2 linked regions of the Pelodiscus sinensis genome follow. The protein of the gene in region 2 purifies or fractionates together with the protein of the main gene of each other region. This does not show direct contact. Links are inferred from orthologs where the notes say so. Each region holds a gene or a part of one and is shown on either strand. Other genes may lie near its edges.

Region 1 (7,713 bases), on a different chromosome or scaffold from region 2:
CAGCCTTCCCTCCTCTAATCCACCAGCCCTCACTCACCTCCCAGAGCCAGGGAGAGAACCCAGAAATCCTGGGAGACAAGATATTAAGGAGGGGATCCCCATGGATGTTATGGGCATGGTATTCCCCCTCAGGTGACCTGGATATGCCAGAATCTGCCTCGCTAAGGTCCTGTGAGTGTCCCTCCCGACAGCACTAGAAAAAGAGGGGGCCCAGATGGGCCCCAGCACATGAGCAGTTCATCCCTGACCCATTCTAGGGGAGAGTAGAGACTGCTGGTCCTGGCAGCAATGAGGGGAAGGGAGAAGTGTTCCAGATCCCCCCTCCCCATGTTCACCCATCTAAAAGCAGCAGCCAGGGCAGGGGGGGCGGGGGTATGCTGACACACTTGTACAACTGCAGGAGCGGGACAGGGATGGGTCTGTACCAGCTCTGTGCTGACTCATACCCAAGTCACTTTGGATCAGAGCCGCTCCTGTAAAGGACCTGAAGTAGGCATGTAAAGTCCCAATTACCTGGTGTAAGGTAAAGTTAACCATTTAACCGAGATCCCTTAACTGGTAAGCATCACCCTTACCAGATAATGGTGAGGTAAAGGTGAAGCTTACCTGTTAACCAGTTACATCCCTAGCCTGGAATAAACACATACACTCTCATCTGGAATCCAACAGGATCCTAGTTGGTTTCCCATCCTCTTTCTGGCCAGGACAGCTGGACAAGATGGCAGGAGACTCTAAACACCCTTACTGTTTTCCAGACAGGAAGGGAGAGGAATCAGCCTTAGACACTAGCTAGGAAGGCATTTGAAGCGGGAAAATATTTTGTACTCTCAGCCAAAAAGTTTCCACAAGAAGGGAGAAAAAGTTAGGCCCTGAACTGGGAGCAGAGGCAGGGGATTTGTTTTTTTTAAAACACAGAAATGGGAAGCAGAGGCTGAACTGAACTTGTTTTTGCAAGCAGGGAGGAGGGGAACAGGAAAAAAGGGAGATCTGGAAAGATTAGAAGAGAGACAGATTCAGGCCCGCAGCAGCAGCAGGCAAAGACGTGGCAGTGAAAGGAAAAGATTAAATACAGACAGACGGTAAACTTGCTTCCCGCCTCCACCCTTTTTATTAACCCAGCAGAGGGGGTAGCTGGCTTTCTGAGAAGTTTACAAGAGTTTCTTCTCTGCTAGCGGGGAGAGAAGGGAATTTTTTTGCACAAGAATTCCTGATTCAAGACAGCAACTGCTGAGCCCCAGCACTCAAGTCTGGCAGCCTCCCCCTCTCCCCCCAACTCTATATCTGCAACCTGATGCTGCAGTTTGCAATTCATGCAGGTTGAAAGTGCACAAGAGGGGGGCTTCTGAGGGATGCAACATGAAGTTAGACTTTTAAAACTCTGCCACAAGGATGGAGGCCAGCTGCAGCTGGCTCTGTGGTGAGGCAGCTCCTCTTACAGGGATCTTTGGCCCTGAGATACAGCCATCTCTGGGGCACGGCAGCCATGAAAGCACCATAAAGAACCAGGAAATCGGATTTCCAATGCAGTAAAAAAATAAAGCTAAAAACTTGCATGTCTAGGCTAGCAGATGAACTGTGTTTTCATCCCTGTCTCAGAGGGTGGGATAAGACTCATCAGGGAATTCTGACACTTTGGAGCCAGTTTGCCTTGCACAGGCAGGGACAGATATAGGCCTCATGTCCTCCCCCCCCCCCCCCCGCCTCCCTTCCGTCTCTTCTTGAGTCATTTCCTCCTGGTAGCTGCCTGGGCCCTGTAGTCAGCAGCAGGGTGGGGCTGGCCGCAAAGCCTGCAAGAAGGTGCTAGCTAGGCCCTATTCACACCCACTGGGAGGGATGGAGTCTGAGAGCCCCCAGGGGTCCTTCTTGGCCCTTATTTGCAAAGCAGCCTTGGAAGGAACTGGAAGCTGGGGGGGAACCAAGGTCCCCCCCATGCTGTGAGGCTTTTCAAGAGGAAGTGGCTTTTTCTTTCTTTCCACAAAGAAAGGGGTGCTGGTAGTGAGAAAGGGAGGCTACTGCAGAGAAGGAAGTCGTGGGGGTTGCTGTTCGCTGCTAACTGTGGGTTATTTCCTCCCCTAAAGACTTTGCAAACTTTTTTTGCAGCCACAGGGTCTCCCCCACTCTCCATGTGCGTCCATCACCCTGTCCCTCCAGTTCCTCTTTTTCACCCTGGCGATCTAACACCTCCCCCCGACTCCAAGCACCCCATTTCACCCAGATACACTCGGGCCTATTTGTGCACTACACCCCACAAGGGCCTGATCCCTCCTGCGGATCTCCCTCTCTCAAGTGCACCCACATCTACTTACACCAACACTCCCTACTTTCCCTCCGCCCTCTTTAGCAATGTCCCCGTTATCCCCTTCTGCTATATACACCCCCTGCCCTCCATGCACTTCCGGCCTCCCCTCTTTGGAATCCAGGCTCCCTGCCCCCTTTCCTATACCCCCTGCACAAACTCTTCTGCAAGGGACCCCTACTTTCTAATGATACCCCCAGTCATTCCCCAGCCGCCTCCTCTTTGCAATGCAGCCCTCCCAAGCACTTCCTGCCTCCCCTCTCTTTCAGTGCACCCTCCCGGGGTCCCCTGTTTTGCCACGCACCCCACTTTCCCAATGCAGCCCTCCCAGGCACTTGCCTCCCCTCTTTGGAATCCGGGCCCCTCTTTTGCAATGCGCCTCGCCATCTCCCCTGCCTTTGCAAGGCACCCCTCTCCCCCGCCAGGGCCTCACCGTGATGTTGGCCAGCGTCTTGCCCGGAGTGGCGGCCCACACGGACGGGGTGTCCTTGTAGCCCACGATGGCCGCATCCTGGCAGGTGCCGTCCGCCATGAGGTTGTCGATGTAGGAGGACCAGCCGCTCATGGCTGCTGCTGCTGTTGCTGCTGGTGGTGGACCGGGCGCGCGCCCTGCACGATCCCGGAGAGGCCCCGCCGGACGCGACCGAATCAACCGCGCCCTGTGGCACGCGGCGGCGGGAGTGTGTGTGGGGGGAGGTGCTGCCGGTCGGGGGACGTACCGGACTCGCCCACTCCGGCCTGGGCGCGGGGAGGAGCAGGCACTGGAGAGCGGCAGAAGTGCAAAAGGCAAAACGCATGGGCCCCCCCGGCCCGGCGCGCGGCTTTTACATAGGCCAGCTCCCCTCGGGGGAGGGGCTCAGCGAGCCTGGAATCCATCCGCCGGCCCGCCCCCCGATCGGATCTATTTCTTCTTTTCCGTGCACCCCGGAACTAGGCACCCCTTTCCGCAATGCACCCCAGTGGGGTCCCACCACCCCCTTTTCCCTCGCGTACCCCACAGCGCCCCTTTCCACACTGCACCCCCTTTCCCTCGCGTACCCCACAGCGCCCCTTTCCACGCTGCACCCCCTTTCCCTCGCGTACCCCACAGCGCCCCTTTCCACGCTGCACCCCCTTTCCCTCGCGTACCCCGCAGCGCCCCTTTCCACGCTGCACCCCCTTTCCCTCGCGTACCCCGCAGCGCCCCTTTCCACGCTGCACCCCCTTTCCTCGCGTACCCCGCAGCGCCCCTTTCCACGCTGCACCCCCTTTCCCTCGCGTACCCCGCAGCGCCCCTTTCCACGCTGCACCCCCTTCCCTCGCGTACCCCGCAGCGCCCCTTTCCACGCTGCACCCCCTTCCCTCGCGTACCCCGCAGCGCCCCTTTCCACGCTGCACCCCCTTTCCCTCGCGTACCCCGCAGCGCCCCTTTCCACGCTGCACCCCCTTCCCTCGCGTACCCCGCAGCGCCCCTTTCCACGCTGCACCCCCTTCCCTCGCGTACCCCGCAGCGCCCCTTTCCACGCTGCACCCCCTTTCCCTCGCGTACCCCGCAGCGCCCCTTTCCACGCTGCACCCCCTTTCCCTCGCGTACCCCGCAGCGCCCCTTTCCACGCTGCACCCCCTTTCCCTCGCGTACCCCGCAGCGCCCCTTTCCACGCTGCACCCCCTTCCCTCGCGTACCCCGCAGCGCCCCTTTCCACGCTGCACCCCCTTTCCCTCGCGTACCCCGCAGCGCCCCTTTCCACGCTGCACCCCCTTTCCCTCGCGTACCCCGCAGCGCCCCTTTCCACGCTGCACCCCCTTTCCCTCGCGTACCCCGCAGCGCCCCTTTCCACGCTGCACCCCCTTTCCCTCGCGTACCCCGCAGCGCCCCTTTCCACGCTGCACCCCCTTTCCCTCGCGTACCCCGCAGCGCCCCTTTCCACGCTGCACCCCCTTTCCCTCGCGTACCCCGCAGCGCCCCTTTCCACGCTGCACCCCCTTTCCCTCGCGTACCCCGCAGCGCCCCTTTCCACGCTGCACCCCCTTTCCCTCGCGTACCCCGCAGCGCCCCTTTCCACGCTGCACCCCCTTCCCTCGCGTACCCCGCAGCGCCCCTTTCCACGCTGCACCCCCTTTCCCTCGCGTACCCCGCAGCGCCCCTTTCCACGCTGCACCCCCTTTCCCTCGCGTACCCCGCAGCGCCCCTTTCCACGCTGCACCCCCTTTCCCTCGCGTACCCCGCAGCGCCCCTTTCCACGCTGCACCCCCTTTCCCTCGCGTACCCCGCAGCGCCCCTTTCCACGCTGCACCCCCTTTCCCTCGCGTACCCCGCAGCGCCCCTTTCCACGCTGCACCCCCTTTCCCTCGCGTACCCCGCAGCGCCCCTTTCCACGCTGCACCCCCTTTCCCTCGCGTACCCCGCAGCGCCCCTTTCCACGCTGCACCCCTTCCCTCGCGTACCCCGCAGCGCCCCTTTCCACGCTGCACCCCCTTTCCCTCGCGTACCCCGCAGCGCCCCTTTCCACGCTGCACCCCCTTTCCCTCGCGTACCCCGCAGCGCCCCTTTCCACGCTGCACCCCTTCCCTCGCGTACCCCGCAGCGCCCCTTTCCACGCTGCACCCCCTTTCCCTCGCGTACCCCGCAGCGCCCCTTTCCACGCTGCACCCCCTTTCCCTCGCGTACCCCGCAGCGCCCCTTTCCACGCTGCACCCCCTTTCCCTCGCGTACCCCGCAGCGCCCCTTTCCACGCTGCACCCCCCTTCCCTCGCGTACCCCGCAGCGCCCCTTTCCACGCTGCACCCCCTTCCCTCGCGTACCCCGCAGCGCCCCTTTCCACGCTGCACCCCCTTTCCCTCGCGTACCCCGCAGCGCCCCTTTCCACGCTGCACCCCTTCCCTCGCGTACCCCGCAGCGCCCCTTTCCACGCTGCACCCCCTTTCCCTCGCGTACCCCGCAGCGCCCCTTTCCACGCTGCACCCCCTTCCCTCGCGTACCCCGCAGCGCCCCTTTCCACGCTGCACCCCCTTTCCCTCGCGTACCCCGCAGCGCCCCTTTCCACGCTGCACCCCCTTTCCCTCGCGTACCCCGCAGCGCCCCTTTCCACGCTGCACCCCCTTTCCCTCGCGTACCCCGCAGCGCCCCTTTCCACGCTGCACCCCCTTTCCCTCGCGTACCCCGCAGCGCCCCTTTCCACGCTGCACCCCCTTTCCCTCGCGTACCCCGCAGCGCCCCTTTCCACGCTGCACCCCCTTTCCCTCGCGTACCCCGCAGCGCCCCTTTCCACGCTGCACCCCCTTTCCCTCGCGTACCCCGCAGCGCCCCTTTCCACGCTGCACCCCCTTTCCCTCGCGTACCCCGCAGCGCCCCTTTCCACGCTGCACCCCCTTTCCCTCGCGTACCCCGCAGCGCCCCTTTCCACGCTGCACCCCCTTCCCTCGCGTACCCCGCAGCGCCCCTTTCCACGCTGCACCCCCTTTCCCTCGCGTACCCCGCAGCGCCCCTTTCCACGCTGCACCCCCTTTCCCTCGCGTACCCCGCAGCGCCCCTTTCCACGCTGCACCCCCTTCCCTCGCGTACCCCGCAGCGCCCCTTTCCACGCTGCACCCCCTTTCCCTCGCGTACCCCGCAGCGCCCCTTTCCACGCTGCACCCCCTTTCCCTCGCGTACCCCGCAGCGCCCCTTTCCACGCTGCACCCCCTTTCCCTCGCGTACCCCGCAGCGCCCCTTTCCACGCTGCACCCCCTTCCCTCGTGTACCCCGCAGCGCCCCTTTCCACGCTGCACCCCCTTCCCTCGTGTACCCCGCAGCGCCCCTTTCCACGCTGCACCCCCTTCCCTCGTGTACCCCGCAGCGCCCCTTTCCACGCTGCACCCCCTTCCCTCGTGTACCCCGCAGCGCCCCTTTCCACGCTGCACCCCCTTTCCCTCGTGTACCCCGCAGCGCCCCTTTCCACGCTGCACCCCCTTTCCCTCGTGTACCCCGCAGCGCCCCTTTCCACGCTGCACCCCCTTCCCTCGTGTACCCCGCAGCGCCCCTTTCCACGCTGCACCCCCTTTCCCTCGTGTACCCCGCAGCGCCCCTTTCCACGCTGCACCCCCTTTCCCTCGTGTACCCCGCAGCGCCCCTTTCCACGCTGCACCCCCTTTCCCTCGTGTACCCCGCAGCGCCCCTTTCCACGCTGCACCCCCTTTCCCTCGTGTACCCCACAGCGCCCCTTTTCACGCTGCCCCCCCTTCTCTCAGGTACCCCACAGCGCCTCCTTTTCACACTGCACCCATTTCCCTCATGTGCTCCCACAGCGCCCCTTTTCACACTGCACCCCCTTTCCCTCGTGTACCCCACAGCACCTCCTTTTCAGACTGTACCCCCTTTCACTCGTGTATCCCCATAGCACTATGCACCCCTAGGGTCTCCTTTATTTGCATTGCACCAACTTCCCCCTCATGTACCGCCTTTTCAGCAGGGCATCCTATTCCCACCATACTCCATCTGCTGTCTGTCCGGCAACCTCATTCCCTCATTTCCCACTTCACGCCCTCCCCCATATGTGCCCTTGAAAGCCCCCCCATATCATTCAAATCCCCCTTGTCCAAATCCCAGAGCCATCTAGATGAACCTCTCAGTGCCAGAGGGCCTGACTCCCCCGAATGCACCCAGGTCCAAAACAGGGCTCCACAAGTCATATACTGGCCCATGTTCCTTTCCACATGCATACATCATATATGTCAACATGTGCCCAATAGCACAGGCAAACTGCATGCTCAGGCAGGCCCTAGGAATTTTAATATTTCACATGTTGGGGCACACAGGCAAACTTCAGACATGCATGGACACATGTGAACTCTATTCTGCTACTCTAGGCTTCTCTCACACGCACAAACATGGACCAACACGTCAGCATGCAAACGCTGGGCCAAGACTGCAGGCAAGAACCCACTGTGCCCATGCACAAAGCATTCAAAAAAAGCATGCACACACTTGTCTGCAAGTATGCATGGATACATGGGTAACACCCCCCTCCGAGCAATCACATCCGCCCCACTCATCTACACACCAGGACATACATGTGCAGCCCTCTTCCCCACTGACATGCTAACACATGTGACTCCACCCTTCCCCCATCCAGACACACACATGTCCATTCAGACACACCAGGCCACACAAGGCTCCCTATGAACCAGGTAGGGAAACCCCTAACCTGAGCTGTGGGTTCCTATTGGCCCAGCCCAGAAGTTGCGTCATGGACTATTTGGCGGAGGAATTACATGTCAGTTTGCAACTTTTTACTTCTTCAGTACAACTTTTTTCCTCTGCGGTGGGGGGGCAGGGGTGGAGAGTCTCACTTCCTGTCGGTGGGGGGAGGGGCAGAGGATGGGGGATGGGTCAGGCTGAGTATGGGCTCTGCAAGCCTTTTGAAACTGAGCTGGGGCCCCTGCATCTCTCGCTCCCCACA
Region 2 (7,775 bases):
TGGGGAGGTGGCCAGGCCGGACAAGCCAGGTGCCTTCTTCCCGGGGCAGGAGGTGAACTCCCATGGAGGCATCTCTGAACCCTGGGGACTCACTGCTCAAGGACAAAGGGGTGAGGGGAGGCCAGGGAGCAGCGCAAGGGCAATGGCAGAGCTGGGGGGGGGGGGGGGGTGAGTCCAGACCTGAGCTGGCAGGGGGCTGTGGGGCTAGGGGGCCCCCTCAACCTCGGTGCCACATTAATTCCAGCTCCCCATGTTTCCTTGGTCCCTCGTGCGGTGGCTGCTGCCTTCCCAGGCACGTGGGGCTGGACCAGCCTGGCCTACGGCTCTCAAAGTGGGAGGGGCCTGAGCCTCTAGGTGTGTGGGGGGAACAGGGACCCGTCCACTGCAATGGGGGGGTGCAGCCCCCAGGGCAGCCTGGCACAGGTGTGTGGGCAGAACCTGGTCCTCACCCCGTCCCAGCCACTGGCCCTGTAGCCTCCTGGGGGTGCTAAGTGGGAACGGTGTGTGGGGAACAGCTGCCCCGGCTCTGCCTGTCCCCGCCCCCCAGCTGGCTAAGGGTCCCCTCGCTCACTGCTCTGGGGACAGGTGCTGCACATGCTGCCGCTCACCCTGCAGGGGGCGCCCCCGCTCGGGGTGGGGTGGGGGGAGAGCCTGCTGGCCCCATGCCAGGGGAGCTAATCCCTGCCCGACCCCCGTTCGCCTCCTTGTCCCTTGGCTCCGTGCTGGGGCTGGTTCTGAGAGCGCCCCCTGCTGCTGGGGCTGGGAGGGGAGTAAGGACAGAGCTACCCCAGGGGGCAGAGGTCGATGGTCCCAGCATGCGGGGCTGGGGCAGCCCCAGAGTGTGCAGGAGCCCAGGCTGGCTCTAGCCCCACTCACCCTCACTGTGGCCCCTCCCATGGTCTGTAGAGGCTCCTCCCATCCTCACTGTGGCTCCTCCTATGGGCTGTAGAGGCTCCTCCCACCCTCACTGTGGCTCCTCCCATGGGCTGTAGAGGCTCCTCCCATCCTCACTGTGGCCCCTCCCATGGGCTGTAGAGGCTCCTCCCACCCTCAATGTGGCTCCTCCCATGGTCTGTAGAGGCTCCTCCCATCTTCACTGTGGCTCCTCCTATGGGCTGTAGAGGCTCCTCCCATCCTCACTGTGGCTCCTCCTATGGTCTGTAGAGGCTCCTCCCATCCTCACTGTGGCTCCTCCCATGGGCTGTAGAGGCTCCTCCCACCCTCACTGTGGCTCCTCCCACGGGCTGTAGAGGCTCCTCCCACCCTCACTGTGGCCCCGCCCATGGGCTGGCGGGATCGTACCCCCCCCACCACAGCGCCCCCTGGACTTCCTGTGCTGAGGTCCCACATCCTCCTGGCCCTGAGCCTGTGCCCCCAGCCCTGCCTGCCAGCCTTCCCCAGCTGGGACCCTTGCTCCCCCTGCCCCAGCCAGACCCCTGCCCAGGCGCTACCCAACCTTGGCCCGAGCCCCCGTGGGACACCAGCCTCCAGCAAGAGCAGCAGGCCCCAGCCACCCTCCGTCCTGCCACGTGCCTGGTTCTGGTTGGATGCCACGCCTGCCACGTGCCTGGCACTGGGCTCTGATTGGACACCACGCCTGCCACGGCCACTGACCCCACTGGAGCGGAGGCACCCCCATGAGAAGAGCAGGCAGGTATGGCGGGCACAGCCACTGGTCCCCGTTGAACGGCTCTTGGCTGGGGGGTGGCGCAGCCTCGCCCAAACGTGTCCCCGGCCACGCCGGGCACCGGCGGTGGGTCACAGTGCCATGCTGAGCGCCCACTCTGCCCTCGGGGAAGGTGACAGGGCAGGAGCCGCCTGCCTACAGACAGCTTGGGGGGACTGCCGGGGGGGGGGGCCAGAGAGCAGAGAAAGTGTGTGTGTGTGTGTGTGTGTGTGTGTGTGTGTGTGTGTGTGCGCATGTGTGCACATCCCCCCTGCTGTGTGTGTGTGTGCGCAGACATCTGCTGTGTGCATGTACATCCCCCCACTGTGTGTGTGCAAATTTCCTCTGTGTGTGTGTGTGTGGACATCCCTCTGCTGTGTGTGTGCACATCCCCCCGCTCTGTCTTTGTGTGTGTGCGTGCGCACACATCCTGCTGTGTGTGTGCGCACATGCACATCCCCCTGCTGTATGTGTGTGTGTGTGTGTGCACATCTCCTGCTGTGCATGTGTGCACATCCCCCCCTGCTGTGTGTGCGCGCGTGGACATTTCCTGTTCTGTGTGTGCGTGCACATCCCCCGCTCTGTGTGCACATTTCCTGCTGTGTGTGTGTGTACGTGCACATCCCCCGCTCTGTGTGTGTGTGCCCGCACATGCCCAGCTGTGTGTGCGCGCACGCATGCCCCCGCTGTATGTGTGTGTGTGCACATCCCCCCACTGTGTGTGTGCACACATCCCCCTGCTCTGTGTGTGTGTGCACATCTGCTGTGCGTGTGTGTGCACATCCCCCCGCTCTGTCTGTGTGTGGGTGCACGCACATGTCCTGTTGTGTGTGTGCGCGCGCATCCCCCTGCTGTATGTGTGTGTGCACATCCCCCCGCTGTATGTGTGTGTGCACATCCCCCTGCTCTGTGTGTGTGTGCACATCTGCTGTGCGTGTGTGTGCACATCCCCCGCTCTGTGTGTGTGTGTATGCACATCTCCCCGCTGGGTGCATGTGCCCATCTGCTGTGCATGTGCGCGCGCACCCAGCTCTGCTGAGATGGACGCAATGGTGGAGGGGCTGGCGTGGCACCCAGAGCTGGGTGGGCGGATGCAGGCCAGGTACAATCAGAACTGGGGGGGCGCAGGCTGGACACAGTTGGCCATAGGGGAACACAGGCTTGGCAGTGCCAGGTGGGGCGTGGGGCAGGTACAATCCGAGGTGGTACCAGAGGGCTGGCTGAGCACAGCTGGAGCTGAGAGGTGCAAGCCAGGCACAAATAAAGTGGCTTGGGGGTGGAGCACTGTGGGGTGCAGGCAGGAGCCCTGGGGTTGTGGGGCTGGGGCCCCCACGTGGCCAGGGACTCACTGTGACATCACAGCCCTGCCAGGGGAGGTCATGGCCACGCCCCCAGCGAGCTGTGACATCACAGACAAGCCAGGCCCTGGCCGGGCTTGGAGGAGAGATAGATGCTGGGTAGGGGGTGTGGTTGCAGGACTATATGCTCGTGTTTGGGGAGGGGGATAAGGCCGTGGGATGTATCCCTTGACCTCACACAAGAATGGATGAAGTCAACAGGCAGTAGGTTTACATGGGAGCACTTCCCCCTGCAGTTAACCTGTGGAACTCCTCGCCAGGGGAGGCCAGGAAGCCCAGAAGCGTAACTGGGTTCATCAAAGGAGGGGCGGATGGGCCCCAAGAGTCACCTATGCTCTGGGTGACTCTGGCCTCCGCCTCCCCCTGCCACTGGGCCAGGGAATGGATGGCTGGATAATTGCTCTGTCCTAGCGAACCGGCGCCAGGTGTGGTCAGAGCTAGGCCGCTGGGCTGGGGGACTACTGGCCTGACCCAGAGTGGCCAGGCTTGAGTTCAAAGTAGGCAGAGAATCCAGCTCACACGCTCTCAGCAGGGCGGAGAACCCAGCCCCTCCCTGCCCCCCAGCGGGGCAGAGAACCCCCCCCCCAGCGCTGTCAGCAGGGCAGAGAACCCAGCCCCTCCCCGCCCCCTAGCGGGGCAGAGAACCCCCCCCCCCCAGCGCTGTCAGCGGGGCAGAGAACCCAGCCCCTCCCCGCCCCCTAGCGGGGCAGAGAACCCCCCCCCCCCACAGCGCTGTCAGCGGGGCAGAGAACCCAGCCCCTCCCCGCCCCCTAGTGGGGCAGAGAACCCCCCCCCCACAGCGCTGTCAGCGGGGCAGAGAACCCAGCCCCTCCCCGCCCCCCAGCGGGGCAGAGAACCCCCCCCCCCAGCGCTGTCAGCGGGGCAGAGAACCCAGCCCCTCCCCGCCCCCTAGCGGGGCAGAGAACCCCCCCCCCCCAGCGCTGTCAGCGGGGCAGAGAACCCAGCCCCTCCCCGCCCCCCAGCGGGGCAGAGAACCCCCCCCCCACAGCGCTGTCAGCGGGGCAGAGAACCCTCCCCCCCCACAGCGCTGTCAGCGGGGCAGAGAACCCAGCCCCTCCCCGCCCCCTAGCGGGGCAGAGAACCCCCCCCCACAGCGCTGTCAGCAGGGCAGAGAACCCAGCCCCTCCCCGCCCCCTAGCGGGGCAGAGAACCCCCCCCACAGCGCTGTCAGCGGGGCAGAGAACCCCCCCCCCCCCAGCGCTGTCAGCGGGGCAGAGAACCCAGCCCCTCCCCGCCCCCTAGCAGGGCAGAGAACCCCCACCCCCCCAGCGCTGTCAGCGGGGCAGAGAACCCAGCCCGCCCCCTAGCAGGGCAGAGAACCACCCCCCCCAGCGCTCTCAACGGGGCGGAGAACCCAGCCCCTCCCCGCCCCCCCCCCCAGCGCTCTCAACGGGGCGGAGAACCCAGCCCCTCCCCCAGCGCTGTCCCCGGGGCGGAGACCCCAGGCGACCTGCCCCCTTGCTCACCCCTCCGCCCTTCCCCTCGGAGGAGGGCGGCGGCTGGGGGCGGGCCGAGCGGTGCATTGTGGAGCCGCGCCGGAGCGCAGCAGGGGTGGGAGCCCGCAGTAGCCGGAGCCGGGGACCGGGACCGGGACCATGCGCCCACAGAGCCGGGGCAGCCAGGGGCCCAGGTAGGCGGGAGCCGCAGGCAGCCCATGGGCCCGGGCCCCCGCCTCCGCTGCGGCCGGGAGTGAGCGCCCGGAGCCGGCACCATGGGGTGAGGAACCGGCCGCGCGTCCTGCGCCCCGGGCGCTTTGTCCGCGGGGAGCCCGGGGGGCGGCGGCCTGGGGGCACTAGGGACCGGCGCCCCCCGAATCGCGAGGAGGGGTATCCCTGGGAGTCACTCTGGTGCCTCCCCCCGGCCCGTCTCCCGCCCCGGGGGGCGCCTTGAGCCCCCACCGTGGCCCCCGGCGCCCATCCCCGTGGCCCTCCGCCCAGAGCTTGGCCCGGTAAGGAACCCAGCGTCCGGGCTGGGGGGCGGGGGTTGTGCTTGTCTCGGGCGGGCGGAGCACTGGCGGCCCCAGGATCGCTTGGGCTGGTTCCGCCTCCCCGAGAGCCGCTCTTGGTCTCGGAGGGGAGGGGTCCGAGCTGGATCCTATGGGGCAGGGGGCTAGTCTGGGGGGCTGGTGTCCGAGTTGGATCCTATGGGGCAGGGGGCTAGTCTGGGGGGCTGGTGTCCGAGTTGGATCCTATGGGGCAGGGGGCTGGTGTCCGAGTTGGATCCAATGGGGCAGGGGGCTGGTGTCCGAGTTGGATCCAATGGGGCAGGGGGCTGGTCTCGGGGGTGGTGTCCGAGCTGGATCCTATGGGGCTGGTCTGGGGGGGGGGGGGTGTCCGAGCTGGATCGTGTGGGGTAGGGGGCTGGTCTGGGGGGGGTGTCCGAGCTGGATCGTGTAGGGCAGGGGGCTGCTCTTGGGGGGGGGGTGTCCGAGCTGGATCCTGTGGGGCAGGGGGCTGCTCTTGGGGGGGGGGGGTGTCCGAGCTGGATCCTGTGGGGCAGGGGGCTGCTCTTGGGGGGGGGGGTGTCCGAGCTGGATCCTGTGGGGCAGGGGGCTGCTCTTGGGGGGGGGGGTGTCCGAGCTGGATCCTGTGGGGCAGGGGGCTGCTCTTGGGGGGGGGGGGGGTGTCCGAGCTGGATCCTATGGGGCAGGGGGCTGCTCTTGGGGGGGGGGTGTCCGAGCTGGATCCTGTGGGGCAGGGGGCTGCTCTTGGGGGGGGGGGTGTCCGAGCTGGATCCTGTGGGGCAGGGGGCTGCTCTTGGGGGGGGGGGGGTGTCCGAGCTGGATCCTATGGGGCAGGGGGCTAGCTTGTCTGTGATGTCACAACCCACTGTGGGGGTCAGCCTTGACCTCCCCTGGCAGAACTCGGCCAGAACTCAGGCATCCTGGCTCCAGTTTCTCCCCCGGACCCGGATCCCTGCCCAAACCCGGAGTCAAGTGATGCTGGTTCCGGGTGCTGCCCCCCATGGACCCCGGGCTGGCTGCAGGGCGAGGTGTGTGCATCAGGCCCCCCTGCCTCCCTTAGGGTGGCCCTATGCCTGCCTGTGGGAGCAGCCCCCCACCCCCCATTGCTCACAGCTGCGCCTGGGGGTGGGTCCCAGGAAAGTTCCCCCATTCTGTGGGCTGGGTGCTGCATAACCCCCAGCTGTCTGTGTCTCTGGGGGGGGGGGGGGTCCGGTGGGGTCTGGCCTGCCTGGGCTGGGCTCAGCTGTTGGCACTAAACATTCCAGAGCTGCTGGAGTGGCTGGGGGGGGGGGGGGGGTTGGGCTCTGTCTTTGGTGCTGTTCCTTGGAGGGTGTGAATCTGTGGGGCAGACGTGTGGGGCGGGCTTGTGGGTGCTGGAGCCACAGCGTCTGCGGGTTGCTAAAGAGCAGGAAGTGGCCACAGGCAGGCTCCGGCTTCCCCTTCCCGTTCTGTAGGGGGGGAGGTGTTGTTCGGAGGGGGGGGCTCTTGGCAGGCCCCTGGGCTACAGCAGAAGCGGGGTGAGCCCTGCCTCTCCCCCCACCTCATACCCTGGGGTCCTGCTGAAGGGCCTGACCCCTCCACCCCCATTGCATTCTGGGATCCCCCCACCCCAGGGTGCTGGGACCAGAGCCTGCTGGAAGTGGGGGGAGGGTGGAGACACCCAGCCCCCCCACACACACCTGGGGCTTGGGCGCTGGGGGTTGGCTGCAGTCAGGTGCACGAACCCCTTAGGTGCTGTCTGGCCTGGGCCAGGAGGGTCTCCTGGGGTACCCCAAGGGGGAATGAAGGTGTGTGGGGGGGGTCATGAACACACCCAGCCCTGCTGGGGGTTGTCCCCAGGGTGCCCAGAAAGCGGGGGAGCCAGGGGAGGGGCGGTAGGCTGTGGAACCCCCCCCCTCATACCCGCAGGACAGGGCTTGGCAGGAAGTGACTCAGGGTCCCACCCAGGGAAGGGGGGGGGGGAACAGACGCATGGGGGAGGGGGAAGCCCTGGACTCGGGATGGTACAAGATCAAGGCCCCCTGGATTCCCCCTCCCTAGCTGCAGAGACTCCCGTCTGCCCCCCCCCCCCAGCCCCCACCAGGACTGGGGTAGCAGGTGCTGCGGGGTGAAGTTGAGGGGAGCCGGGGTGGGAGGGGCCAGCCCCGGAGCAGGGCAGGTTGTCCTGGCCTGACTCCTGCAACTGGCCCTGCTCCTCCCCAGAGGCAGCTGCCTCTCCCTCCATGGGGGGAGGGGTGTCCAGGCCCAGCTTTGGTGCCTCGGCCCAGCCCCCCTCCACACCCATGTCTCCCCAGGTGGAGGAGGGTGGGTCGGGGCTCAGCCCTTCCCCGGGTGTGTTTTGGGGGTGGCTGGGTTCCTGATCCCCCAAACAGGGAGAGGGGAGCAGCTCTGGATTGTGTCCTGTTTAACCCCCCTCCTCCCCTGGAGACAAACAGGCTCTGTCCTTCAAACCTGCCCTTATATGGTTACAGGCAGCTGCTTCCCCCCCCCCTTCCTGCTCCAGAGTCCGCCCCCCCAGGTGCTGCCTCCCAGGCTGGTGCCCCACCCCTTCTGGCTGGGGAGCCCAGCCCTTTCCATGGTTCTGGGGGAGGGGCTGCCCTCCTGGGCTGGGGGTTTGGTGGGTGGGGAGGGTCAGAACCCCAGGCTGAGTCTGGCGGAAGCATGTCAGGGAACCCTGGGGGGGAAGGGGGGTCAGGCAGGCAGGGAAGGGGACACAGTTGGTTGGGCCAGGTCCCTGCAGCTGGCAGGAATCTGCTCCCAGGACAGC

What was found. Proteins that work in one complex are often made in the same cells at the same time.
Region 1: the proteins of VASP (region 2) and PFN1 purify together in Homo sapiens (affinity purification with western blotting; 3 studies listed by BioGRID and IntAct, with this or other methods). This does not show direct contact. The link is inferred for Pelodiscus sinensis from reciprocal best matches to the Homo sapiens genes VASP and PFN1.

The regions. Positions count from the first base shown.
Region 1 is NC_134734.1:8,471,237-8,478,949, forward strand, and holds the start of PFN1 (profilin-1), read right to left. Parts: upstream 3,111-7,713; 5' UTR 2,862-3,110; coding exon 2,730-2,861; intron 1-2,729. UniProt on the Homo sapiens protein: Binds to actin and affects the structure of the cytoskeleton. At high concentrations, profilin prevents the polymerization of actin, whereas it enhances it at low concentrations. By binding to PIP2, it inhibits the formation of IP3 and DG.
Region 2 is NW_027465849.1:6,815,902-6,823,676, reverse strand, and holds the start of VASP (vasodilator-stimulated phosphoprotein), read left to right. Parts: upstream 1-4,520; 5' UTR 4,521-4,640; coding exon 4,641-4,675; exon of another isoform or gene 4,676-4,756; coding exon of another isoform or gene 4,757-4,761; intron 4,762-7,775. UniProt on the Homo sapiens protein: Ena/VASP proteins are actin-associated proteins involved in a range of processes dependent on cytoskeleton remodeling and cell polarity such as axon guidance, lamellipodial and filopodial dynamics, platelet activation and cell migration.